Linked DNA regions of Mus musculus. The protein of the gene in region 1 interacts with the protein of each later gene in a pairwise test. Links are inferred from orthologs where the notes say so. Each region holds a gene or a part of one and is shown in the gene's direction. Other genes may lie near its edges. The genes, in order: Mid2, Spg21, Trim54, Utp25, Zfp24, Slc25a48 and Hoxb9.

Region 1 (4,124 bases):
GTGCTGTACTTCCTTTTAGGTAATGTGGTTGGGTTTTTCCCTTCATTTCCACTCCAGTGTTCTCTAGCAGGTTTGTTTAACAGTGCTGTTGGCTGACTGCTATTGGTTCCCTGATAAGACACACCCATCTACCTTCATTTTTTTTTCTGGATTTGTTCCCAAGCACAGTAATGGGAGGCCCATGTGAGAGGGGCTGTTTCGGATTGCTTTATTCCTTCCTCATTTTGAGTGGAGCTAGAAAGAATATCCTCTGAGGTGGCTTCCTTCTCTCATCTACCTTTTAAGTGTGTGTGTGTGTGTGTGTGTGTGTGTGTGTGTGTGTGTGTTGGGGGGAGGTGGTAGTCTTTGAGCCAGTGATAGGTTAAAAGACAGGCTGTATCCAGACCAATGGGAGGCTCCTGGCTTCCAAATGGATCTTATTAGGGACATTGTATTCTGGATGGCTAGCATCTGCCTCATTGTCCTCTTGGCAGTGACCCTTTTGTATTGGTCAAGGATCTGAAGGTGCAAAAGAAACCTTACCCCATACACTTTTAGTGGCTTTAATCCACCTGAACAACTTGTGCCCAAGTCCAATAGAACATTGCCATTCTCCCTTTGTCAAAAGAAAAAGGGGTTGGGTTTCCTTCAATTGTCTGCCCTTCTCTGTCTCCTCCACTATTTTTGTTTTACTCTCTAGTTAACTTTGCATACAACAGCTTCACCAGTAGGACCTGTGAGGAGGATCCAGGCACACTCTTTTCATTGGCGAGTGCAACAGCCTTCTCCTTGCTCTCATCTGGGGGTTTGTGGATGTAGAAGGGAGGTAGGTGGGTGAAGAGTTTGGCCACAGTCTTCCTTCTGCGCTTCACACACACCACCCGGTCGTGGACGCGCAAACACACACACACACACACACACACACACACACACACACACACACACGCTCGTGCGCGCCTGCTCAGGCCCCTTCTCCCTGTGTCTTCCATCAAGATGACAGGGTGCTGGAGAAAAGGCTGCTGGAATCAGCTGGTAGGTACAGTAGTAATCTGAACCCCACCCACCCACTGCCTTTGCTTGCTCGGGTTTCTCTGGTCACTCCTGCCAGGGGAGAAAACATGTAAGCGCGCCTCCAGAGGAGGGGCACGGGGAGTTGGGAGTGGCGGGGGCGGCGGAAGGTGAGCCTAGGAAGGTGGCCCAGCGCCCCTTCTGCCCGGCCCCTCCCCGTGCTCCCGTAGGGTGTCAGCCTCGGCTCTGCTTGCCCCCACTCCACCCTCCTTTCGAAGGGATTGCCTTTTTTTTCCCTCTGCTGCGGCGGAAATGACAGTGTGGTGCTGCGGTGGTGTCATGGTGCTGCCTCTGGACCGAGAGGCGAAAACTCTTTAAGTTTAGCCCGGGAGACCTAGACGCGGGAACGTCGCGGTCTCCGTGCTGTCCCCCGTGGGGCGCGCGGGCTGGCGGATCCCGGCTGTTGCGCGGCGGCGGCGGCGGCCGCAGCGGCGAAGGCGGGCGGCGGCCTAGAGTGGTGGTGGCGGCGGCGGCGGCGGCAGCAGCGACAGCGGCCCGGGAGCTTGCACGGGAGCCCGAGCCAGCTTGCTGCGGAGGCCGGCGAGCGCCCGGCGCTCCCCGGCGCGCGTAGGAGATGGCTGGCACCCGGGAACAATATGGGTAAAACGCGTCCCCTCGCCGAGGCCCGGGGGGATGGTGGTGGTGGTGGGGTGGCTAGTGTCGCCGCCCGCGCCGGGCTTGGCCCTGGCTGGCTCCTGCTGCTCTTCAGGTGCCGCCGGGGCTGGAACTGGCCGAGGACACTTGGGCTTGGGGGGGGGGGCGGCAAGAGGGGGGAGACGGGGTCCTGGCGGCAATGGCAGGGCCCCGGTTGTCTGTCACACTGTTGTGACCCGAGCTCCTGCCGCTGCCCTCCTGGGAAGGAGTTTGCACTCCTAGATCCCAGGCTGGGGACCGGCCCGAGGCCTCCCGCTTGGCCAGGCCGAGCAGGGAGAAAGCAGTGGAGCGGCTCAGCTCTCGTGGCGCCTAGGCGCAAGTCTGGGAAAGGGCGCAGCCGCCTTCCCACGCTCCCGAAATCCACGGCGTCCTCGGCCCGGGCGGCGCCCCGAGGTCGGCGGTTGGCTCAGTGGTGCTGGCGCAGCAGCCTGAGATTCTGTGGACACCCTGCGAGCGGGAACCCCGGGAGAAACTTAATTCTCCCTCCCCTTTTCCTCCCTGCTGGGGAAACGATCTTCAGGTCTCTGTCTGGGTGGTTCTTTATTTCTGGCCTAGCTGTGAAAGCAGCCCCGTGGGGGGGGGGGGGGTGGAGAGGGAAAAACTTGAGTGTGTCCATAGGACACACTGCGACTGAAGCAGGGACAGGGGAGCCTTTTCCATTCCGGGCTCATAAAAATTACTGGAACATTACTGGTTATGAGCTGGCTTGGGTTGTTTCGCACTTCACGTGCAGCATAGTATTTATTTATTTAGGAGGCATTTCGATTTAGAGGAGGAAATTAGGATCCAGGGATTGTTGGACTCTTCACTTTCCCCACTCTTCCACACTCCTTAGGTACTGTCTCTATTCAAGCCCCCACATCTCCCACCAGAGTTCCTGCACTCTCAGCTTTTCTCTGTCAACCTGTGCAATGCGGCTTCTTGCTTTTCAATCACTTTGATTTTTTTTGAAGATTTTGGAGGGTGGGGCTGCTGAATGGCATTAGTTGTGTGTCTGTCTCTAAGGAGGAGTATTTATGAAGCAAGACATTGGAAACTGTAATAGTACACAACTATTGTGTGGGGATTAATTAATCTGATTCTCGAATTGGACCACAAGAGTTGACTTTAATCCCATTCCATTTCCTCTCTGAAATCGAATCAGATCTCTGACACTATTCCAATAGAAGATGGAGTTGCTAAATGGAGAGTTTACATTCTTGCTCACTTCTGCTTGGGGAGCTTTTGCTGTACCCTAGATTCCTATCCCAGCATCCCCACCTTTTTTTAACCTCCTCCTCTCTGCTCATCACTGCCCCAAGGGAGAATCAATCTTTGCTATTTTTATATATTCCTGCTCAATCAATTAGCTTAACACAGACTCATAATATGAATTAGATTTCTCGTGATTGTTCCTTACAAAACTCGTTTCATGTGGTTGAAACACAAGCCTGGAAGCCAAGAAGATCAGAGAGTTCATTCCAGATGTGACGTTGCATTGGCTTTAAGGCCTTTAGACATTTGTATGACCTCTCTTTCACAGTTGCTTCACTTGCATAAAAGGCATAATATTGTGTACTGGGTATTGTGAGTATTGGCTTGGTCCTTTGAAGATAAAAGGATTCTATAAACCTCAGCATTATACTCTTCAATGAAAGCACTTCATTTATCCTTTATTGGGTTACTGGATTGACTGGGTATAAATGGGAACACTAATTTACAGGAACCCTAATTTGCCATTATTAGTTCCCTTGAGATTCAAATTATCATTGTAATTTAGATCTTAAGTCAATTTGTTTCATGAATGTATATGCAACTGAATGGAAACATATATACAATTAGGCATAGAAAGTAATGGTGATGATTTTAAGTCGAGTCATAAATCATATTGATTACACTTTACCCTAACAATGTGAGTCAGACTCATTTGAATATTCAACCTCACCCATTTTTTTAGTCTACATGGGGGGAGTTAGTTAATGACCAATAAAAGTAATATAGATACATTTAGGTCTGGCTATATAAGCAAAATTAGCACCTAGCAGCAGTGAGTCAATATTTTTCAAAGCACCTTTAATGTACAGAAGCCTCTGCTGTCTGTGTTGAGTGAGGACCTGCCCTTGACCCAGTATTTTGGGCTCATATTTGCCCTATGCTAAACTCTACTTACAGTTCCATGGCTCCATGGCTAGGATGCAGTCAGGGTGGGTGATGTGTGGAGTAGGGAGAGAGGGTTATGGCACATGAAGAGCTGTCTCTCCTATTTACTTTCATGACTACTGGGATTCCTGCTTAGCATGTTGTACCTTGCAAGACCACTTCTGAGAGGCACTTGCTGCAAATGAGTGGCTTGGTTGCTTCACAAACATATCATCTGAACAGCGCAAATTGACTTAGATAAAATTGGTTTGGTTAATCCCTCCTCTAAAAACAGGGCAACTTGC
Region 2 (4,240 bases), on another chromosome or scaffold:
TTTGAACAATTCAGTTAGCTTTGAGATACAGTACCACTATTTGAGATCCTTCTGCCTCACCTTTTTGAGAGCCGAGACATCACTATGCATTGGGGAAAATGTGTCTGGTGTTTGTCTAAGTTCTAGACTGGAACCTAAGACTCCTGAGCCATAGATCAGTGTTTGGTTGTTTTGTGGTTTTGTTTTTGTTTTTTTGAGTCATTGTTTTCGTCTGTGCTCTCTAGGCCTGGAGAGATGGTTTGGTGGTTAACAAACTTACTGCTCTTCCAGAGGACCAAAGCTGAGTTCCTAGTACCCAGTCAGGCTTGATCCATCTTAATCATCTGCAGTTCCAGCTCCAGGGGGTCCAAAGCTGGCCTCAGCAGGCATCAACACACACACGTACACACACACACACACACACGCACACACACACGTACAGGCACACGCACACACACACACGCACACGTACATGCACAGGCACAGGGACACGCACACACACACACACACACGTGGGGGCTGAGAGATTGCTCAGAGGTTAAGAATACATATTACTTTTACACCCGTGTTAGGCAACTCACAAACACTTGTAATGCCAGCTCTAGGATCCTCCTCTGCCCTCCTTATAAACTACACTCATGTGCACCATATATTCTCTCTCCCACAAACACACACACGATTAAAAGTAATAATAATAAAAAATATTTTTAAAAGTCCCTAAAACATTAGGATCTTGCTTTAGGAACCTTACAAATTTTCAAACAAGATTGACAGGTCACTCAATATTATTATGCATTATTTCAGAGCAAAGCTGTAAGCTAACTGAAAGGTGTTGTGGCATCTGCCACATCTCTCGTAAGAACAGTGACTAGACTGTGCCTGACAGAAGAGGGCAAACCAGCGCTGAGTATACCCCCTCAACATCAGCACAAAGCCATAAAAGGAGACAAGGCTTTGAAAGGAGGTCAGAGGACAGCGTCTATACAAAAGGTAAAAACAATTTTGCTGAGAAAGCATATGCAGTTGGGAGGCTGAAGGGGAATGGGACATGGGAGGCAGAGACTAAGGGAGGGTGATGATCCAAATTCTTTATATAGGTATCAAAATGTCCTAATTAAGCCATTGTAATGAACTGATATATACTAATGTTTTAAAAAGACTATGTCAAGGCCTATTCACCAAAGCTATGGACCAAAAGTGTCTCCCCACCAAAGCATGAAGACGCCTAAAAACCGAAGTCAGAAGCACATCCCCGGGGCCTACAGCCTAGATTTTTCACTTCCTCCTCCATGCTCCTGTCAGAAGTGACCAAGAACTGACCCTTATCCACCACCAGCCTCCACAGCCTCTAGGACACCGCAAATCTCAGAACAGGGCCTCCCTTGCCAGCCCCGTCGCCATAGTAACCACCAGAGCCCCGCCCCTTCCTCGCCATCTGGTCCCGCCTCCTCGGAACCCGGAAGCGGGAGGCGCGCCCGGGGAGCTCGCAGTACCAAAGCTGGGAGGCGGTGGCCTCTGGCTGCTCGGCCGCGCGCCCCCTCTGCCCGCTGCTCCCGCGGGGCTCCTGATCTGCGGCCGCCGGTCCAGTCCGCGCCCCGCCGACTCCATCCTCTGCGCCCAAATCGGGGCGAAGATCCGTCTAGGCTGGAAAGAAAGGGACGCGGGAGCGGCCACGGCAGGTGAGGGGCAGGCCCTGGAAAGCAAGAGTGTGGGTGTGTGGTGCGTGTAGGGTTGTAGGTGGGCGTGTATCGAGCATGCGTGACTTACGAGCAGAGTTCACGAGTGGGCAGGTCCTTGTGACCATGCACGTGATCCATATCTCTGTGTGTGCGTGTGGTGCGCTCTCGCGGGCGCCTGTGTGTGTCCGATTGTGCCTGTGGGTCTGTCTAAGGTTCAGCCTCGGTTCATTGCGGATTGTTGTTGTTTCTGAACTGGTGGAACCCAGGGCGGCCCCTATGGCGATTGGTGCCCAAAATCCTTAGTCAGACATCCTCATTTTCTTGAGCCACCCATCCTGGGGCAGAAATTCAGGAGCATTTTGGTTTCAGTCAACTTTTAAGGGCTGCGAGTAGAGTTGTTTTAAAGATCCTACCTCAGACTAGGTGTGAGGCCTGTGAAAGAGTCATGAAGAGTGTAGCAGGGCGAGAGAAACCCCCCCCCCCTTTTTTCTTCTTTTCCCAGGGAGTTAGAAGTTAGGGGCTGATGTTGTTTTGTCTCCATCTGCAGTGGTCTAGCTTCTCTTTTTGCAAGGATTCTGCACATTGGGAAGCCGTCTAATAGCTGTGTATGAGTTTTCAAAAAGATTTTACACCAGAACCTTGAAACGAGTGGTCAGAGAGAAAGATGTGCGGGCAGCGTCTCCTCTCATGATATTTAGAGAGAAGTGGATAGGTTCCTGGAGAAAGGATAAATCTTACCTGAAGAAATCTCCAAAAAGATGGCTATTTAATACATATAGGTGTGGTGAAGGATGAAGATGTGTAGTGAACAGCCCGCCGCAGGGCCTTAGGTGTAGTTCAGTGGTAAAAGCCCATGGTGAGCGTTCCCCAACACCGAGAACCATAGTTATGTCACCTAGAGGCTCTCTAGTTCTAATAACCTTTTTAATTGGTTGTATTAACAACCACAGATTGTCCCTATATAAGACACCTATACATTGAGATAAAGGACCAGCAATATGTGACTGACCGTGTGTTAAACATTTGTAGAGGCGATTTCCTCAGCTATGAACTGCAGGTTCTGTTGAAACTCTGAAGGCCAAGTACATGCTCTCTCACAACTAGCCAACTTACTGTCCAGCAACGCAAGGTCCAAGAAGAGCTGGGGAGCCTTAGCATCCTGGCCAGCGGGAGGAGGGGTTTCCTTGATAAAGCTTATCTCTGCCTCTTTCCTCACCAGCCTGAACAGGTGCTTCTGTTTTTTGTAAAGAACAGAGTCACGAGAAAGCAAATCTGTCCTGAACACACTGCCCATGTTTCTTTTCATCCTGACCAGTTTGGTCACAGTCTCAGCTAACTTTCTGGGCCACAGATTTTTTTTTTTTTTTTTTTTTTTTTTTTTTTTTAAGAATGTTTCTCTTGTGACTTGGAAAAGCATCCGGCTTAAGTGGATGAAAGAGAGCTAGAACAAACTTTCCTTTTCATACCCTTCACAGCTGCTTTAGCTTTGCAGCAGGTTTTTTTTTTTTTTTTTCTTCCTAGCCGTCAGCTGGTCCTACGCAACATTTGGCAACATTTGGTAACTGTCTCACCTTTCCTCACCACCCAACCAGCACAAGTGTTAGAATCACCTGTCCTTGCAAAAGTGTCCTCACAGCTGTGTAGGAACTCTTATGCATCAAGATTAGTTACAATGTGGTCAGTACTGAGCTGCTTGTGAGTTATACTGAAGACCCGGTAAGGACTACCCTTCGGCCACTGTGGGAAAGAAGTAGGTAGCTCATTTGTGTGCCTGCCTGTGTGCTTGTACCTAGTTTGGTTTGTGAGTGGCATCTTATTAAAACTGTGGATAATTTTTTTTTTTTTTGTAAGTTGGTCGATCCTAGAAGTAAACTTTAACAAGTTGATTGATGTTTTAGCTTTGTGTGTTTGAGACAGGGTCTTACTATTACTGCATAGCTCTGGCTGGCCTGGAACTCACTATGTAGACCAGGATGGCCTTGAACTCCCAGAGAGCTAGCTGTCCGCCCCTGAGGGCTAGGATTAAAGATGTGTGCCATCACACCTGGCTGTTTAGCCTGTCTTTAATATTCCCTCCTGCAGACATTCTAGAAAATGTTTCCAGTTGGAAGTGCACAGATGCTGTGGTGGTATTTCAAGTCTGTCCTGATATAAAATATTCCAGGATTAACTGTATATGCCGCTAGTTGCTTTTATTTTAAAGTAATAACTTAAAGGGAGACAGGAGAGTTAAATTAACTAAAATGTACTACATAAATGTATGAAGCTATCAAATAAAGCAGTTTTAAATGGTGAAAGATGTGCTAAAAATGGTTTAAATGGCTTAGTTTTTTTTTTTGTTTTTTAATTAGATGTTTTCTTTATTTACATTTTAAATGCTATCCCCTCTCCAAAAATCACCTATACCCTCCCCCTGCTCCCCAACCCACCCACTCCTACTTCCTGGCCCTGAAATTTCCCTATACTGGGGCATAGACTCTTCGAAAGACCTAGGTCCTCTCCTCCCATTGATGGCGGACTAGGCCATTCTCTGCTACATATGCAGCTAGAGACACGAGCTCTGGGGGTACTGGTTAGTTCAT
Region 3 (3,500 bases), on another chromosome or scaffold:
TCTAAGACACACAGTGTAAAGAGCCTCAGCTAAGCCGCCAGTGCCACCATGTCCAGCCTTTCTTTCTCTCCTTTTCTTTTTTAGACAGGTCTCATTCATCCTGTGCTGCCCTCAAACTCCCTATGTAGCTGAGGATGATGTTAGACCTCCTATGGAGCAGACCCGCCTACCTCTACCTCCCAAGTGCGCCACTCTGCCCCTGGGGATCAAATCTAGGGCAGCCTCTACCACTTGAGCCACATCCCGAGCCTGGCTGCAATTCCTCTGTCCCTGTTCAGCACTTGAGTTGTGTGACTCTTCCCGGGACTAAAGAGAAGCACTCTCATGGCTCAGTATTTGGGAGACAGAGGCAGGTAGTTAGACAGAGTGTTTGAGGCCAGCCTGGACTACATAAGACCCTGTCTCAGGGAGAGAGAGAGGAGAGAGAGAGGAGAGAGAGAGAGAAAGAGAGAGAGAGAGGGAGAGAGAGAGAGAGAGAGAGCCATAAGCCCAATACTTGGGAGGTCAAGGTAGAAGGATCAGGAATTCAAGGTTATCTTCCATTCACGTGGAGTTTGAGACAAGATTATATTATCTTGCCAAACATACATGCACATGTACATATGCACCACCTTACATGTGCTCATAAGGGTCCAAGCTGGAGGACACTGGCTATACTGCCAGTCTCTTGCCTACAGTTAGCATTCCTGTCAAAGCCCCATGCTGGACTCCATTGAAGATAGTGATCAGGCCTGGGCCAAAGTGAGGCTCTGTGTGCGGGGACACTCAAGGAGCTGAGCTGAGGGATGAGGCCAAGGCAGGAAATCGTCTGTCAGAGTGTTGTCTGGGGACACCAAATGCAGAGAAGACCTAATGTTCCCGTGTCAGCTCACCACTTGCCTTCCCTCACACCTCCTTACACTTCTAGTGTCCTGTCACCTGTCTTCTCAGGCCTCTAATCCTCTGTGGCAATCCCGGGGCTCCACAACGGTGTCTTCAGGAGGACGTTTCCGATGCCCATCTTGTAGGCACGAGGTTGTCCTGGACAGGCATGGTGTCTATGGCCTGCAGCGGAACCTGCTAGTGGAGAACATCATTGACATCTACAAGCAGGAGTCCTCCCGGTAAGATAGATGCCTGGCTGCTGGCCTCTCTGGAGGGAAGAGCCTGCACCCTTGGGGATAGAGGGGCAGTTTAGGGTTTCCATTGCTATTGTGGAGCACTGTGTTTGCCTCACACTCCCACATCATAGACATTCCTGAAGTCAGGACAGGAACTCAAAGAGGGCAGGAACCCGGAGGCAGGAGCTGATGCAGAGACCATGGAAGAGTGCTGCTTACCGGCTTGCTCCTCATGGCTTGCTCAGCCTGCTTTCTTATAGAACCGAAGACCACCAGCCCAGGGATGGCCCTACCCACAGTGGGCTCCCCCATCAACATCCCCCATCAATGGCTAAATAAGAAAATGCCTCACAGGCTGTCTATAACCCCATCTTTTGGAGACATTTTTTTGATTGCAGTCCCTTCCTCTCAGATGATTTTAGTCTGTGTAAGCTGACATCCCCCCAGCAGAGGGAGGAGGACAACAAAGGGGAAAGAAGACCTAGGGAGGAGGGGAGGCCTCCAGGGAGGCCCGACTTTGCCTCTGGAAACACTGTTCAATCTTACTCCCTCCTCCTGGTCTGGGACCAAAGTCTACCTCAATGTTCTTGACCTCATCAGCTCCCATGACTTCCTGTCCTGCGTGACATCTTTGTCCCCTGGAATAGATTCTTCCTGGGTCCAGGTCTCCTTTGAGCATCGTTTCTTCCCCAAAGTGAGAACGCTGTGTAAGTTTCCGACCACTGGTCACAGTCTGGCTCCCTGACAGTCGCTGCTGCCTTGCCCTTGATCCTCAGGCCACTGCACGCCAAGGCTGAACAGCACCTCATGTGTGAGGAGCACGAGGACGAGAAGATCAACATCTACTGCCTGAGCTGCGAGGTGCCCACCTGCTCTCTCTGCAAGGTTTTCGGCGCCCACAAGGACTGTGAGGTGGCCCCTCTGCCCACCATTTACAAACGCCAGAAGGTATCTAGTCAGGGAGGGGTCGGGAAAAGGGTTTAGGACTGGGCAGTTCTCACTGTACTTAGGTAAGGGGTGGTCAGGGCAAATCCCCAGCTCTGCTTTCTACTCTGCACACGACCCTGAGGCAGTTACCTGACCTCCCTGACCCTGACTGCCTTCTCTGGTCAGGCAAGGTGAAGACAATGGTTATGGCCACAGCATCAGCTAGTTAATATCTAACGGGAGCCACTTCAGGACGGTATCCACCAAAGGACCAGATACGCTCAAGAGTGTGAAATTACACAGCTAACTTCCAGATATGCTGAGATTTTTAAGATCACACCAGTTGGCCTTTGAGAGGAGAAGGGCATCCTAGGAAGGTGGGGATGGGGGGTGGTGGTGGGAGGTGGGAAGGGCAGGTCCAGAGAGCCCCTGCAGGCAGGAGAGATAACATTCATCACATGACCAATGCTGGCTCAGTACAGGCTAGAGATAGAGGCCATGCCGCAAAACCTGCAAAACATGTGTAGGTAGAGGTGCATTTAAGACTCCCCAAACCTCAGCTTGTGTTGAAGTCCCAAGATATCAAAGAAGTCGTTTATATCACCTGGTTCTTGTCAGAAACAAATGCAGATGTTAAGCTGGAAGAAGATGCCTTCAATGCAGGCCCTTAGATTAAGATCAACACAACAATCACAATGGAAGATACACAGAGAAATGGACCACATGAGTGCAATTAGCAGAAACCCTTCAAACCCTCAGGGAATTGAGATGTTGGAATTATTAAAGAACAGAAACTTGCAATGTACACGATGTTTTTAAGAAGATAGAATAATGTCAGGCATGGTTGAGCACTCTGTAAGTCTTAGCACTCAGGATGCTGGGTGCCCAGCCTAGACTACATAAAGAATTCTAAGCCAGCCTGGGCTGTATAAGGAAAGACCCTGTTTTAAAGAAAAATAAAGTGGGGCTGGAGAGCTCAGTGGTTAAGAGCACTGTCTGCTCTTCAGAAGGTCCTGAGTTCAAATCCCAGCAACCACATGGTGGCTCACAACCATCTGTAATGGGATCTGATGCTCTCTTCTGGTGTGTCTGAAGACAGCTACAGTGTACTCATATACATAAAACAAATAAATCTTAAAAAATAAAAAAATAGAAAAAAAGATGAAATAAAACAACAGCATCATCATCATCATCAACAACAACAAAAGGTAGAATTGGAGATATAGCACACTTGCCTAGCACAAAGCCCCGGATAGATCCCCAGAACTGAAAAAAAACAAAAGTGCAAAATGACCATGTAGCAGCAGTGGCCTGTTGTGGTGGCGAACACTGTAATCTCAGCTACTAGGGAGGCCAAGGAAAGAGGATAACAGATTCAAAGCCAGTGTGGATAACATGAAAAGGCCCGATCGAAGAAAAACCAAAGCAAAGCAAGCTGAACATAGATCTGACAAAGAACTGAGTGGAAACTAA
Region 4 (3,500 bases), on another chromosome or scaffold:
TGTATAAATTGTTGTGAGCCTTCATGTGGTTGTTGGGAATTAAATTTAGGACCTCTGCTTGCTCTGGTCTACCCTGCTCACTCCGGTCGGCCCTGCTTGCTGCGGTCAACTCCACTCACTCAGTCACTGCTTCCTCCTATCCAAAGGTTTATTTATTATACATTGTAGCTGTCTTCAGATGCACCAGAAGAGGGCATCAGATCTCATTATGGGTGGTTGTGAGCCACATGTGGTTGCTGGGATTTGAATTCAGGATCTTTGGAAGAGCAGTCAGTGCTCTTAACCACTGAGCCATCTCTCCAGCCTCTGTTTTTTTTAGAAATTTAGAAGTTTCATTTGCTAGTTTGTATGTCGTGTGTATGTGTGTGTGTTCCTGTTCCAGAAGGCATATGACCCCCTAGAAAGGAGCCACTTAGTATGGGTTCTAGAAATAGAGCATAGGCCCTCTGAAAGAACAACGGGCGCTCTCTCAGCCCTGACTAGCATTTCCTACGTGGACCATGTTTCCTGGGAAGTGTTTCTTCTCAAGCTCAAGTTTTGTAGACAGTGGAACTATTCTTATCTCAGACCTATGATTCTTCTAAGACAGATGATAGCTCACCTCTGCTTCCACCTAAAGACTTAAGAGTTTTACAGGAAGTTTGGGTACATCAACAACAGTTGATACTTACAAAGTGAAAATGAATCTGTAGCAGTTGTGACCCTTGGAGTGTGTCCTACAGTGTGTTAAAATGCAGCTGGAATGAATAAGGCAAGCCAGGTGTGGCAGCTCACACCTGTAAGCCTGAGGTGCGGGAAGTGGAGACGGATTACAGTAAGGTCATGGCCAGACTGGACTACAGGATTCCAGGCCAGTTTACACAGCAAGACCTTGTCCCAAGAAAGAAAACCCAGAAAAAGTCTGTTGATGGGTGATAGCATATTCTTTAATTTGAGGCAGAGCTAGTGGTACTGTTGTAGTTTTTTTGTTGTTTGCTATTCTGGGAATTGAACATAGGGTCTTGGGCATGGTGGGCAAAAGTCTGTCGCTAGACCATCCCTGTCACTGGTATTTTGAGATTCAGTCATTGAAGGGCAGAGGTTCTGCTTCCCATGTGGCTTCCCTTTTTGTCCAAGTCTGGGACAGCAGCCCCCAAAGTAACCAGTCTGCATTTCACGAGTCCCTTTTTTACATGAGCCATGTTTCTTTACACTGTGTATTTTGTTACTGTTTTTTCTCTGTTAATGTGTAAGGTGAGGGGTTTTCTGTGACCTCTCACGCCTGTGTGTCATATTTGCTGTGTTTTCCCAGTCTGTCCTCTCTCTCTTCCCTCCCACTGGTTCCTTCAGTAGTTCTTGTGGTCTTTGAGACAGTGTCACTCTGCACCCTAAGCTGGTCTCAAGCTCACTATATAGCCCATCCTGGCCTCACATCCTCCAGACTGCTGGAGTTCCAGAGTGCCCCACTATGCCTAGTTCTGAAAATTCCTTGTAAAGGAATTCCAGTAGCCTGTGTTCTTCGGAAGGGCCTGGGGATGACCAGTTTGTCTTACTAGAGTGTCCAGCTGACCTTGAGCAGGTCACCATCTGAGCCTTACTTTTCTCCTGTCATTTGGGAGACGCTAACACATACCTCATGGGGTACGGGGATGATGGGTTATAATGTTTACGGGTGCTCTGTAGTCAGTCACTAATGTGCTGGTGTTTATGGGTGCTCTGCAGTCACTAATGTGCTGGTATTTTGCACCAAGCATTTGATGAACCACATGAACCTGCTGCCCTTGGACTCACACGGGGTGGACTTCTCGAGAGTCCGAATGTGGAGCCTCAATAACTGGTCCAAGTACTACCGACAGACACTGCTCTTTGGTGCCCTGCAGGATGCCCAGATCAACTCTGTGTTCAACAAGCACTGCATCAATGCTCAAGGCCAGGTGAGTCCTGTGTCCTCGGATTGTCCTGAAGCGTAGACTAGGTTGGGTCATGAAGTGCCAGAGTTAATGGCATGTGATCAACAAAGGTTGCCTGCCTCCTGAAGTTCTTACCTCCTGGCAGGTGGCTGTGAGGAATGTCCCCATGACGGGCTCCATCAGTCATGTGTTGGTGCAGCTCCCTCACGTCTTCCAGAGAATGGAAGCACAAGACCTATCTTCAGTGATCGATGCCAGGTAACGCTACCCACACCCACAGAGCCTCATCTAGAGATCTGGTTTGGGATGCGTATTTAACACTGGACTCTGAGTGATTACTGATTATCAATTTAGGTCCCCAAACTGAACTCAGCCAGGCCCTTGACAGAGAAGGAATCAAGCCAGGTAGAAACTGGGGCTTGGTCTTCATATTACAGCTAGAAGCAAGGTTGGGACACGGCAAAATCACACCATTGCTGCTGTGGCCTATGGAATAATCCATACCATTTGACCTAATTATAAGCCCTTCAGAGAAGAGCAGATTGTCTGGTTCCCCACATGTGCCTTCTGTGGGCATATGTCTTAGACAGGCAAGGCTTATTTGCCGCTGAGTGAATGAGGGGCTGGTGTGAACTACATTAGTTCTCTGGCATACATGGAACCTGATCTGCCTTTACACTTAACTGTTAGGACTTCATTTCCTACGTGTTTATCAGTTTTATCCTCAGAGGGTCTTTGAAAAGAAGCTGTCTTTGGCCTCAAGGCATCTCTTGGGCTATGCCTTGCTGACCCACACTGTTGGTGCCCTACTGTGAGTTCAGCTGTAGATGTTAACCTTGTCCTTGGCCTTTCCTAATCAGGTTTCACTTTTTCATAAACAAGATTTTGCCTCAGTACCGGGATGCTGTCATGTCTCACACACTCATCTATGTCCCCTCCTACTTTGACTTTGTGCGTCTCCGAAATTACTTCAAGAAAGAAGAGCTGAACTTCACACACATCTGCGAGTATACGCAGAAGTCTGGGATCTCCAGGGCTCGACACTTCTTTCTGCAAGGAGAGAAGCAGTTTCTGCTCCTCACAGAACGCTTCCATTTCTACAAAAGGTAAGACAGTCTAGGCTCCACCCACTGAAGGACCTGGGCAGGCTCTGTGGGGCTGTACATGCGTCCCTTGCTTCTGCTCTGTGGAAAGCCACAGGGGTTGTATTGTGGGTTAGTGGGTGGGTGGTTCGTTGGTTGGGCATTGCTGGGAAGGTTAGAAACCAAAGCTTGAGCCCTGTGTGGTCTGGAATGCAGCTGTGGTCCCAACACCTCACAGAAGCCAGTGAACGATTGAAGAGCAGAACAGGATCAGCACAGGAGAGCTTGGGGAGGTGGAGGCTGAGTATTGGCTGCATCCCTGAGGAAGCATATCCAGGTGGCTGTCTTCCCCTGGAAAGTTCTGTCTTACCCCTTGATAACAGTAGTGGAAAAATCTCAAGGGACTCGGGGTTGAATACATTTTAGTTTTTCAATGGGTGCTTAGATTTACTGCTAGGTCATTAACAGAACATCTTGTTTACTTTTTGCTATTGCTTTTTAAATCCTAATTTGCTTGTTAGTTAATAAT
Region 5 (4,163 bases), on another chromosome or scaffold:
AAAGAAACAAAAAGATGCTTTGAGTTAGCTCTCAGGAGTCACAATAGAGAAAAGGCTGCAGAGACCAGCCAAGCCGGATTCTGGCTATAGCCAAACCCGAGGGTAAAAAGGCTGTATTAGAGTCTCATAGTGAAGAGAGGAAAGTTCCAGAGGTTATGGGAAGGTGAGCTCCGGCTGGAACGTTGAGTCTTGCTATTCTGTCAGCTGCCTGTTTACTGCTCTCTCATTCACTACGGGAGCAGAGGCGAGGACACTCTGCAGAGGCCCTTTCCTGAATGAGACAATAGGGCAAAGCCTGAGGACCGCTTCAATGTTCTGCAAACTTGACCTATGCTTCTTACAAGAGTATTTTCAAAACAGAGCTCTTTTGTGCGATTTCTGAGACTTGACATGTGACCTAGCAAAGGCCTCATGCAATGTGACCAGCCTACAATTCATTCACTTATTCAAAGTGTACTTACTGAGTTTTCTATGTACCAGTCAGCATCCAGAAACTAGGTGTGGGTACTGTGCTAACCAGGACCTAGAGGACCCAACTTTACAGGACTTTCAAACAAAGCACAGCTAAGTTAGAAGATCACTTCTAAGGGTGGCCACAAGCATATGGAGGCCACCTGGAGGAAAGGGCATTCATTGGTCAGTGAGGCTGAGGCTGCACAATAAGTCCCATGCTTAATAAGAGTCATGCACAATCACGGTCAGAAGGAAAAGGCAGGCAACAGACCATAGACAACCTACGGGACAACGTAACAAATTTCTGTCAATAGTTAAGGTAGCTGAGATCCACTAGAGGACTTTAAAAAGGGGAATACGGCGATCTAAGTGACTACACCTGCAGCTGCCTTAAACAACCAGCATGCGTGTATTCTGCAATTCTCTGTGACTAGCCAAAGGCCTCAACTAGTTTCATCTTGTTTCTTTGATAACCTGTCGTAGTCTCTGAGACACAGCTAGTGGAGGACGATGGTTTGAGGCATGGTTAGAGGCAAACCTTGTGTCAGGGCCCAAAGCTCCTAAGTAGCAAACACTATAGGGTGCGGGGGCAATGTAACCGATTTACACGTAGCGACTGCGGTTGACCCGATTACAGCACACTTTCAGAAATGTTCTCTTTCGTCAGTTAACCAGAGGGCTCCGGAGAGGAGTACCGGGCACTCGTGGAACTGCCGCCCACGTCCCTCTTGCTCCCCTCTCCTTTCTCTGGAGTGGAACAGAGAGCAACAGTCACTCTGCGAAAGGCGCCAGGCCAAGCGCAGCCTCAATGCGGCCATTGTCATCAAGCCGCACCTCCCCCGCTCACCGCGCGTCCCCATGGCAACCCCGGGCATCGGCTCCCCCATTTCCCTCCCGCCCCCCGTCCTGCGGACCGGAAGCCGTGCGCGCCGGGGGCTTGTGGGAAGCGGCTGGAAGCGGCGGCGCTGCGTCTGCCCGGGACGACGAGGCTGCGGCGGGTCCCGAGCCAGAGGTCAGCGGCGCGCGGGGGTAGGGCTCGAGGAGGAGGGCGCGGGTAGGGGCCGGGAGGCCGGCGTCGCTCGGCATCCCGGGCGTGCGCACAGAAGGCCGCGGCGGAAGGGCCGCGGCGGCCTGCTGCACTTCGGGGGTCCGCAGAGCCCCCGGCGCCCGCATCCTCGCCGCCCTGCTTTCCCCTCCCCCACGGGCCGGTTTTGTTCTATTTCGAGGCTCTGGCGGCTCGCGTAGGATTCTGGGAGACGCTCAAGCTGAAGTGGGATCCGGCGGTTCTCGCGCACCACCTACTGGGATTTGTAGTCCTGCTGGTCCCGGGCGGAAGTGCCTGTCCAGTGTGGCGGGGCCTCTGCGGCCCTCCTGGTGAATGCTGGGAAGAGGACGGCCGAGTTGCTGGGGCAGGCTGGGCACGGCGCTGTGAGGCGGGAGGTCGCTGAAGACCTGGATCCTGCCGAGTGCCGGATTGCACATTCCACGAGCTTGGTGCAGTACAAAGTAAAAGAAAAAGCAGTTTCTGTTATGTAGAAATACGTGAGCTGTTGATAAGAGTCGGCTCCAGGAATAAGAACAAATAACTTGGATTTTGTTCTCAGGCCATCCCACTCTTATCTATATGACCTGTCAGTTTGATACAGCATTTTCTCATCCTTTGTCTTCACCTTGACCGGTTTCAGTAAGGTTTTGTTAAGTTTCTGGTTTTTTGGTTCTTGGCTCTGATTGATTAAACAGTAGCTGTAGAGTTAAGAGTGTCTATGTGCTGTTATCCGTGGCACGGTTATGATTTTGCAAATACCAAAAGGACCAGAAAGTAGTTCAAATTTCCCCGAAGGAAAAGTTAGGGAAGCTGACTGAGGAAAAAAGACTCCTGTCCACTGAGAACTGTAAGTGCTTTTTCCTAATAGAATTTGCTGCAGCTGATACTTGTTACTGTAAGTTTAAATGTATATATGGTGTGGTGGATGCCTGAGTAACATTTGCATGTTATGTGAAATAGCTTCTTCCGCAGTGTTATGCGATCGGTTACTGAACTGTGTAAAGCAGAGTTTGTGACAGATCTACTAGCCCAGGTTGGGTTTGCCATGTAGACGAGGATAACCTTGCTTCTGCCTCCGTGTTGAGGTTACAGATTTAGGACACATAGCTAGCTACTAGTGAACATTTCTCACATATATTTTAAGTTTAGGGAGTTCCTAAACAAACAACATAGTATTTATGCACAATTCCGAGAGTTAGCTCAGCAGTAGAGGAGGGTGTGTAAGGTCCCTGGATAAGTCTCTAATCCGGGGGGTTCGGGCTGGGGCTGTGGTTGATCTGTTTCCTACTCCAGGTTTGCAAAAAATGAAAAGAAAAGTGGGATGGGCTAGGTGGCTCATCGGGTAGGGGCCTTGCTCCTAAGATCCCAGATTGCACATAGCAGGAGGGAGGAACTAACTCCTGCCTGTTGTCCTCTGACCTCCACGCCTGTGCTGATGCATTCCAGCACAAAATAAATGGGGGAAAAAAAGTTATACATGTCCCACCGCTCTGAATGTTTAGTTTGTTATCTTATGTATATTTGTACCACGTGTTTGCCTGGTGCCTAAGGAGGTTAGAAGAGAGAGGCTTGTGGTGCTGGAAACAAACCAGGGTCCACTGCAAGGGAACACCTTCTTAATTGCTGGACCAGCTTTCCAGTCCCAAGCTTCAGAGCATTTGGAGACCACTGAGATAGATGGCTTCTTACCTGGATTCCTTAGGTTATTAAATTACCTTTGGTTGACCATATGTCACAGATTGGCAATCTTTTTTTTTCCAAGAATGGACAAGATAGTAAATATTACGTTGTTTTAGATCTTAGCTGAAATCATTGAATGCTGTCAACTCTTACCATTATAGCCTGAACCACAATTAAATTTAATGACTTATATACACAAAATTTAAACATATTAATGGGGCTGGAGAGATGGTTTAGTGGTTAAGAGCACTGGCTGTTCTTCCAGAGGTCCTGAGTTCAATTCCCAGCACCCACATGGCAGTTCACAACTGTGTGTAACTCCAGTTCCAAGGGGTCTGACACCTTCACACAGACATACATGCAAGAAAAACCACCAATGCCCATAAATCATTTTAAAAAAACATTTTTACATCTTATTTGTGTGTGTGTGTGTGGGGGGGGTGTACACGTCGTGTCCGGCTTGTGCAGAAGTAAGCTTTCGCTTATGTACTTGTTGGTCATCGGACTCGGGTCAGCAGGCTCGGCAGCAGGCCTTGGCCAACCAAGTGACCCTGCTGATCCTGGACAGATACATCATATTTTCTCAACAAGAAACGCTTCTGTGCTTTTTAGTCATTAAAATTTTTACACTACTTTACTATGGATGCTGTAATAGGCAGCAGGCTAGATTGGCTATAATTTAGCAGCTATGTTAGAATTTCAATCGGTATAGGTTATAGGTTATTAATTGGAATTTTTAATCCAGTAAAACAGCATATCTTTTTTGCTGCTGCTTTTGAATATCATGGGATACTTGGTGATTTATGTGTCTTCTGTTTCTTATACCTTAGGAGTACTTTTGAGGAAAACAGGGTATTTCTCTGAGGTGTATACCTTGCCTCCATTGCCTTTTCTTGAAGTACTGTAACAGAATGTCTGCACAGTCAGTGGAAGAAGATTCAATACTTATCATCCCAAATCCAGATGAAGAAGAAAAAATTCTGAG
Region 6 (3,500 bases), on another chromosome or scaffold:
GAGGATGGTGGGTAGCCTCTGGGAGGACCGGATGGCAGAGCGACTACTGCTCTACTGTTTTGTATACCCTCAGACAAGCTAAGAGAAAACAGACCACAACCAGCCAGCATAGACCCCCAAGCTTCCAAGTGTTGTTGGGTATCCACCAGAGAAGAGTGTTTGGGTATAGGTTTAAGCCAATAGAAAGTCTTTATTAGACTACACTTGGTGTTTGGTATTCTACTGTAGCCTGAGCCTTTTTCAGGGTGAGATTTTAAGCACAAAACCCAGATCTTGGGTTGACACACTTTAGCTAACAAGAACAGAAGCAGAACTGTAGATGTCAAACATCAAGGTTCCTACATTTAAGGACTTCCCAAAGCTATGGACTTTGGTGAATTAGGTCTTTGTTTTCATTTTGGCAGGTGGTGCTCTCCGCATGCTGAATTTTACAGCCTGAATGGCACTTCCATCATGGAGAAGGTTATGCTAAGGTCTGGGGCCTGTTACAAAAGGAAACAGAATCCAGGGCCCTTGATGTTGAGGGTTATTGATGCTGCCTTGCAGCTGTTTTAGGGCACAGCCCAGGCCAGGGCTGGCATGAGTCAGAACACGTCCATCCTCTAGCCAGCCAGTGGACCCTACCAATGACTATCAGCTGCTAACTTATTGAACCCCACACTGTTCCAGGCAGCATGTCAAGGACTTGGCATGTGACCTGACTTGTATCCATGACTCTTGATCTGTCTTTTACGAACTAGAAAACAAGAGCAGAAAACGCCGACATTTGTTAAGTGGTGGAGGAAGGTTTGCATCCAGGACAGCCTGGTTTCAAATAATTTGACTATTAATTCCCCATCAAGAGAGAGCTTGACTTGATTGTCTTCTTTCTTCAATCACAGCTGCTTAGAAATGCATAGGGATGGTTGACCAGAAGACTGTGAATTCCAGGGCAACTTGGCTTATATTGTCTCCAATCTGGTTGCCAGGGCTCCTTTCTGGAGACTCAGAATTCTGGTATAAGTTGCCAAGGGTGACAGATAGTTTGGTAAAAATGAACGAGCCACATGAGTGGGAACTGTCTGTTAGGAGACTGGCTGTGGTGCCAGCGGCTGGCCAGTCTCTCACGTGCCTGGTCATTTGGCACCATCTCCTTCCTGTCTTTTCAGCTAGCCATGGATTGAAGTCCAGGGCGGTGGCAGCATACCAGGGACCAGTGCACTGCATTGCAACCATTGTGCAGATGGAGGGCCTGACAGGGCTGTACCGGGGAGCCAGCGCCATGCTGCTGAGAGACATCCCGGGATATTGCTTCTACTTTATTCCCTATGTGTTCCTGAGCGAGTGGATCACACCTGAGGCCTGCACAGGGCCCAGCCCCTATGCAGCTTGGCTGGCAGGGGGCATTGCAGGTAAGGACCCCAGCCACGGAAGTCCCATCCCTGGGTCCTGGGCCTGCCACAGTAATGGTAGAGTATAGAGGAGCCTACCACAACTTTCCCGGTCCTAAGGAGATGGGCCTCATCCAGCCAAATATGCAGGAGCCTTCCTTTCACTGACTCTGTGCCACACCTAGTAGAGAGAACGGCCCTTTGACCTCCCAGATCCTTCTCTCCAGGGCTATGAGAGTCTCTGTGTGAGTTCACTGGACTTTGAGGCAATGGGTGCATTCTAGCATGTTCTCTGTGGCAGGCATTGCTGAGCTGCTATGGGAGAAGCTATTATCTCTGTTCACTTTTGCTAAATGTCAGGCTTGTTAGGTACGGGGGTCAGGGGGATCCAATCTCCGCATTGCCCTGAGATACCCAGGGGTCCGACAGTCACAGAGATCCAAGGCTAGCCACACTTGCTCATTTTGTCACCTGGGCCACAACCCCAGTTCATTCAGAGGGAAGTCAGCATGCACTAAGTGGTTTGCCACATGCCTTCTTTGATGTGGCTCCCTACTGCCTCTCAGGCCTCCTCCTCCTCCTTCTCCTTTTTTCCCTCCTCCTCCTCCTCCTCCTCCTCCTCCTTCCCCTCCTCCTCCTTTTTCCCTATTTCCCTAACCCTTTAAAGTCACACAAATGCTCAGACTGGAATTTTCAAGCTGATCCTGCAAGGACGACCCCTCTGTGTGTTCTCTCAGTTTTATGCCACAGGTTTAAAGACGATTTTACACATTTTCCATTTTCCCAGGCTGGCCCTTCTCAGTGATCAGTCTTTGTGACAGACGGGCTTTGTTCAGTTCCCCCAGACTCAAACCTAGCCATAACTGCAAGCCTTTGGTCACAGGTCTCACGCTGGGCTCTCTCTGCCTGCTTGGGAGACTACAGAAGCAGTCGCTATTCCACTGATAATGTTTCTGTGTGGGGAGCTCCGACATGGTCCGATCTCTTGCTTCAGTCTCCTGCCGGCCTCATAAACACAACTCTGCTGCCCAGTTTACAGAGGAGGTGTGGGAGGCTTCCACTAGGTCCACGAGTGGGTGGAGAGAGAGGATCAGAAGTCATGTTCCCCCACCACTTATGAGGATGGGATGGGGGAGGGGGCATTGGAGGACAGCATCTTCAGGAAGCCAGGCCTTGAAGACCCAAGACAGACAGAAAGCTCTGACACAAGTGGTTTCTCTGACTTCCCAGGGGCAATTTCCTGGGGGACAGCAACTCCAATGGATGTCGTGAAAAGTCGAATCCAAGCAGATGGGGTCTATTTAAACAAATACAGAGGAGTCGTGGACTGCATCTCCCAGAGTTACCAGCAAGAAGGCTTTAAGGTAAGCTGCACGCAGCCGCCCTGGGTCAGCAGCAGCCTGGCAGAGGGTGAGGCTGCTGCTGGTGAGGCTAGAGGAGGATACTGGGAGAGCAGGTGCTAGAGGTTACCAGCCTGTTCTTGGTTAAGTTTGTAGATGGGACCTCTCCCCTACCCCACCTCCTGATTTCTTTGTCAGCAAGTTTATTTGTTAGTATATAGAATCACTACTGGATTTTGTACCCTGATTATTTGCTCAAAATATGGATCAAGTTTTGGGGTGGAATACTTTGGTTTTTAAGGATAAGATCATGCTAATCTGCAAATAGGGACAACTTGACTTTTTTTTTTCTATTTATATTCTTTATTTCCTCTCTTGTCCTGATACTCCAGTGAAGACTTCAAACACTGTATTGAACAGGAGAGGAGAGAGTGGACACCCTTGTCTCATTGTAGATTTCAGAAAAACGTTCTCTCTGTGTGTGTCTCTCTTTGTCTCTGTCTCTCTCTGTTTCTCTGTCTCTGTCTCTCTGTCTCTCTCTCTCTCAGTGTGTGTGTGTGTGTGTGTGTGTGTGTGTGTGTGTAGCCAGTCTTGCTTATTGTTTCAGAGAACCAACTCCTTGACTGATGATTTTTTTTTAAATTTCCATTTCACTAATTTTTGCCCGGACCTTTACAATTTATTTATATATTTATTTATTTTACTGCTCACTGCTTGGGGGTTTGGCTAATTCTTGTTTTTTTTTTTTTTTCTCTAAACTTTGAAGTGCACTGTTAGGGTATTTATCTCT
Region 7 (3,942 bases), on another chromosome or scaffold:
AGGATTGTAGGCGAGAAGGCGGCGGGTGGGGGAAACGGACTGATGCCGGGGACTCCTCTGTACTTGCTACCGTCCTATGTCAGTATTTGGACCTTTTCCAGAGCGGCAATTCCGGGTGAAAAGCGCTAGAGTGCTGAGAATTTAGCTGGCCTCTTTCCCTTTTTGGATGGAAAGGAAGGTAACCCGGTGTTCCTTACTGTGCCGTTTGGGGAGTCTTCTTCCCCTTCTCCTTTAATCATTTCCCACATTAGCCCTCTCATCTGGACATTTTTAAGGGTCTCAGAGATTCCTGGATGAAGGACAAGAAATGACCATGGACCCAGCCTTTCACAAAGGCCCAAGAAAAATTTTAAGGAGTTAAACAAGACTGGTTAGTCTCCCGAAACTCTAGTTCCAGGGCCTGGTGTGTCTCTTTGGCCTTAGGCAGGCTATAATTTCAAGACAGATAATGATTCTTTGGACACTAGTCCCCTTTCGCCTCTCTCAGCTGCTAAAGGATCAAGGGAAGAGCCTAGTCACGTAAATCTCCCCAAATTGTGCCCTGAACCCCCTCCAAAGAGGATAACTGTCCTATAAAAGCCCCAACTTCTTTCTCATCCTTTTACTTCATCTCCTGTGGGTCGCTGTACTGCTGTTGTTTAATAAACATCTCTGTCAAGGGGACAGAGGACAGGAAATGAGGGCCCGCGGGGTGGAGGTGGAGGTGTTGGGGGGGGGCGACAAGACTACCTCCTCTTTAATTACCCTGTCGGGCCTCTCCCGCAGCTCTGAGGCTGGGGCGCTCTCCCTCCCTGTATGCTGGTCCTCCCCCCCCCCCCAATCTGCCTGGGGAGAGGGCTCCTCAGCCTGCGTCCCTCCTGAGGCAGCCCGCTGCTTGCCTCCGCCTCTCCTCCGCCCCCATCGCCCCATGTTGAGAACCCCCCTTCCTGTAAAAGCGGGAGGGGCCCGGGCGGCCCGGCAGCTCAGGCTGAGGTTACGTGGCCGCCGGAGCCCTGACGTGATAGCACATTGCATCAGCATAAAACAATCCATCCTGGATATGGAATGCGGTGAGGACGGATGACAGCGCGAGCGCAGCCCCCTCGCCCGATTGATTTATGTCGGAGCTGACGCTTTATCAGGCAGTCCGCAAAACTTTGACCAATCATTTTGCAAGGAGCTCCGAGCCGGGCTGCTCCACTGTACTTTGTTGGCTGAGAAGTTGAGCAGGGGGTGGGGGTGGGAGGGTGGGGGTCTGGGGGGGGTCGCGTCCGAAAGCCCTCTGCACCGGGTCCGTGTGCCACCTTTTCCCTGCTTGGGCGCCGCGGCGCGAGCGCTTCCCTTCCCCCTGCGAGCGCGCGGATAATGTCTGAGAATGTCCATTTCTGGGACGCTTAGCAGCTATTATGTCGACTCGATCATAAGTCACGAGAGCGAGGACGCGCCTCCAGCCAAGTTTCCTTCGGGCCAGTACGCGAACCCGCGGCAGCCGGGCCACGCCGAGCACCTGGACTTCCCCTCGTGCAGCTTCCAGCCCAAAGCGCCGGTGTTCGGCGCCTCCTGGGCGCCGCTGAGCCCGCACGCCTCGGGGAGCCTGCCGTCTGTCTACCACCCCTACCTGCAGCCCCAGGGCGCGCCGGCGGCCGAAAGCAGGTACCTCCGCACCTGGCTAGAGCCGGCGCCGCGCGCCGAGGCCGCCCCGGGGCAGGGCCAGGCGGCCGTGAAGGCGGAGCCGCTGCTGGGCGCGCCGGGGGAGCTGCTCAAACAGGGCACGCCCGAGTACAGTTTGGAAACTTCGGCGGGCAGGGAGGCTGTCCTGTCTAATCAAAGAGCTGGCTACGGGGACAATAAAATTTGCGAAGGAAGCGAGGACAAAGAGAGGCCGGATCAAAGTAAGTTATAAAAAAAAAAAAAAGTGAGGAAATCCCCCCCAGGCTGCAGGCCAGGCCCGGGGGAGGGGAGGGGAGAGGCCATAAAGCGGACAATGTAAAGGGACAGAGCGCCTGGGGCCGCAGGGCTAGAGTGGGTGGAGGGAAGAGGAAGGAAGGGGCTGGCAAAGCAAAAAGCTGGGTGTCCAGGAGGGGGACACTGAGGCTACCCCCCACTCCTCCTTGTGGCGCAGGGACTGAGACTCAGGGACCAAGTCTCTCTAGTCCTTCATTCTTCCCCAGGCTCGGGCTGGAAAAAGGGAGAGGGACCTGCGATAGAACTGTAGGAGGCCGGGCCGATGGCCAGCGCGGCCCGGAGCCCGCGCGGGCACGGGGCCGAAGAGCACTCGGCAGAGCCGCCTGCGCCACGCGCAGACCGTCCCTGCCGGCCAAGGGGAAGGGGGAGGGGGCTCATTAGGATTTTATTTGCGATGCAACAGCTTGGCGGAGGATTGTTCCTAGCAGATCTCACGCAGTAGCCGCGTCGGGTCGGCAGCAGGCGCCGGGAGGGGCGGGGGAAGCCCAGGATGCGGTGACGGAGCCCCCTCCCCGGTGCGCCGGCCCCTCCCCGGGAGCCTTCCCTCCGGGGGTCCCCCGCCCTTCTAGGGCATCCTCGACAGGACGGCCGTTTCTCCTCCTGCGGTTGCACGCTGATCTCCGCGGGGCTTCCGATCACTTAGGCCGGGCAGTTCACCTCTCCGAGAGTCTAGGCATCACTTGCTAAAGACAGGGCCTCCCTCTAGAATGGAGGAGAAGACACCCAAAGGGACCCCGGGGGAGGGAGGGGGAGGACTGCGCAGGGGCGGAGAACTCTACCCTTGGTGGAGAGTTTCTTACCACCTCCCACTCCTAAAAGCACCCTTGCTAAAATAAAACCCCAAGTGGAAACTGCTGCTGGCTGAGAGTAGAGGAGGCTTACTTTTAGGGGTTTGTTTTTAAGGATGGGGAAGACAAACTGGTTTGGGGCTCGCTCTTGGTCCCAAACAATACGGGACAAACTGACAGGTCAACTCCTCACCTCTTCCTCCTCTGGGCAAATAGTTTGGTCCTTGCTCGCCCTATTGGATGCCCCACCAACAGAGAGGCCAATGGGTCCTCTGGGGGCATGCTTGCCCTCTGAAAAGCAAGGAGAGACACTATTCCCCTGTGACCCTTGTGGTCCCCTCATACCTCCAACTTGCCAGGCTGAGTTATTAAGGAGCTCATATCCCCAAAACAGCTCCTCCCAAAGCTCCAGAAAACACCCAAACAGACCCCTCACCCCATGGCCCCAGACTAGGCCTGAGTTGCCCATCATTGCAAGGCAGCCATTTGGCTAGGCTCAATTATTAACAGTTTTTTTTTTTGTTTCCTCTTTCATATTTAATGAAAGAGGAAAAGGCTGCGGGTCCCATCCCAGACAATCACATTAAGGGAATAGCGCTGCAAATTGGCAGGACACGCTACTTAGTGTAGGATGAAGTGAATTTTAAAATATACATAGATATTCAGAGCTTTTCACTTGGGGGCTAAGCTGGTGGAGTGGATCTTGCTTGTAATTGGCTCTGCTTTGGGAGGCAGGTAACTTTTCTGAGTCCCGAGGTCTAAGGAGGGATGCTGGACAGAAAAAGAAAAAAAAACTGTATATGTTATTTGCTCTTTGTGCCCCTCTTCCACTCAATTACACCTTTCTCTGCCTCTCCATTGGGTCCGTTAAAAGGATTGGTATGCTGGGAAGGGCTTTCTGTCGTCCCCCCCGCCCCCCGCCCCCCCCACCTCATCTCTGCTTCTCTATCTTAGAGCTGTAGCAATTTTGCTTCCCAGTTTCCCTGAACTTGTGTTAACCAAACTGTGAGCTGAGTAGCAGAAAAGAAGAGGCTATTGCCACCATAAGTTATCTGGAAGCCCTGGGGCTCCCCGTCCACGGGCTGCAATTGATAAATGGTTGCAATTGGGTTGCTTGTGAGTCGGAGTGTGCAGGGTGTTCATGGCTGTAAATGCAGACTCTTATTTGTGGTGTGTGATGGGGAGGGCTGCTACCCAGACTCACATGTCT

Evidence for each region.
Region 2: the proteins of Mid2 (region 1) and Spg21 interact in binary tests that used the Homo sapiens proteins (3 or more experiments, as listed by UniProt). The two-hybrid records come from large-scale screens. The link is inferred for Mus musculus from reciprocal best matches to the Homo sapiens genes MID2 and SPG21.
Region 3: the proteins of Mid2 (region 1) and Trim54 interact in binary tests that used the Homo sapiens proteins (3 or more experiments, as listed by UniProt). The two-hybrid records come from large-scale screens. The link is inferred for Mus musculus from reciprocal best matches to the Homo sapiens genes MID2 and TRIM54.
Region 4: the proteins of Mid2 (region 1) and Utp25 interact in binary tests that used the Homo sapiens proteins (3 or more experiments, as listed by UniProt). The link is inferred for Mus musculus from reciprocal best matches to the Homo sapiens genes MID2 and UTP25.
Region 5: the proteins of Mid2 (region 1) and Zfp24 interact in binary tests that used the Homo sapiens proteins (3 or more experiments, as listed by UniProt). The two-hybrid records come from large-scale screens. The link is inferred for Mus musculus from reciprocal best matches to the Homo sapiens genes MID2 and ZNF24.
Region 6: the proteins of Mid2 (region 1) and Slc25a48 interact in binary tests that used the Homo sapiens proteins (3 or more experiments, as listed by UniProt). The two-hybrid records come from large-scale screens. The link is inferred for Mus musculus from reciprocal best matches to the Homo sapiens genes MID2 and SLC25A48.
Region 7: the proteins of Mid2 (region 1) and Hoxb9 interact in binary tests that used the Homo sapiens proteins (3 or more experiments, as listed by UniProt). The two-hybrid records come from large-scale screens. The link is inferred for Mus musculus from reciprocal best matches to the Homo sapiens genes MID2 and HOXB9.

The regions. Positions count from the first base shown.
Region 1 is NC_000086.7:140,663,632-140,667,755, forward strand, and holds the start of Mid2 (probable E3 ubiquitin-protein ligase MID2), read left to right. Parts: upstream 1-1,324; 5' UTR 1,325-1,643; coding exon 1,644-1,647; intron 1,648-4,124. UniProt on the Homo sapiens protein: E3 ubiquitin ligase that plays a role in microtubule stabilization. Mediates the 'Lys-48'-linked polyubiquitination of LRRK2 to drive its localization to microtubules and its proteasomal degradation in neurons.
Region 2 is NC_000075.6:65,459,497-65,463,736, forward strand, and holds the start of Spg21 (maspardin), read left to right. Parts: upstream 1-1,440; 5' UTR 1,441-1,658; intron 1,659-3,204; exon of another isoform or gene 3,205-3,408; intron 3,409-4,240. UniProt on the Homo sapiens protein: May play a role as a negative regulatory factor in CD4-dependent T-cell activation.
Region 3 is NC_000071.6:31,130,112-31,133,611, forward strand, and holds part of Trim54 (tripartite motif-containing protein 54), read left to right. Parts: intron 1-930; coding exon 931-1,103; intron 1,104-1,876; coding exon 1,877-2,048; intron 2,049-3,500. UniProt on the Homo sapiens protein: May bind and stabilize microtubules during myotubes formation.
Region 4 is NC_000067.6:193,113,252-193,116,751, reverse strand, and holds part of Utp25 (digestive organ expansion factor homolog), read left to right. Parts: exon of another isoform or gene 1-1,096; intron 1,097-1,730; coding exon 1,731-1,913; intron 1,914-2,034; coding exon 2,035-2,147; intron 2,148-2,749; coding exon 2,750-2,995; intron 2,996-3,500. UniProt on the Homo sapiens protein: Component of the ribosomal small subunit processome for the biogenesis of ribosomes, functions in pre-ribosomal RNA (pre-rRNA) processing. Essential for embryonic development in part through the regulation of p53 pathway.
Region 5 is NC_000084.6:24,018,014-24,022,176, reverse strand, and holds the start of Zfp24 (zinc finger protein 24), read left to right. Parts: upstream 1-1,363; 5' UTR 1,364-1,465; intron 1,466-1,806; exon of another isoform or gene 1,807-2,345; intron 2,346-4,008; 5' UTR 4,009-4,089; coding exon 4,090-4,163. UniProt on the Homo sapiens protein: Transcription factor required for myelination of differentiated oligodendrocytes. Required for the conversion of oligodendrocytes from the premyelinating to the myelinating state.
Region 6 is NC_000079.6:56,462,355-56,465,854, forward strand, and holds part of Slc25a48 (solute carrier family 25 member 48), read left to right. Parts: intron 1-1,148; coding exon 1,149-1,391; intron 1,392-2,600; coding exon 2,601-2,734; intron 2,735-3,500.
Region 7 is NC_000077.6:96,270,188-96,274,129, forward strand, and holds the start of Hoxb9 (homeobox protein Hox-B9), read left to right. Parts: upstream 1-1,142; 5' UTR 1,143-1,354; coding exon 1,355-1,871; intron 1,872-3,942. UniProt on the Homo sapiens protein: Sequence-specific transcription factor which is part of a developmental regulatory system that provides cells with specific positional identities on the anterior-posterior axis.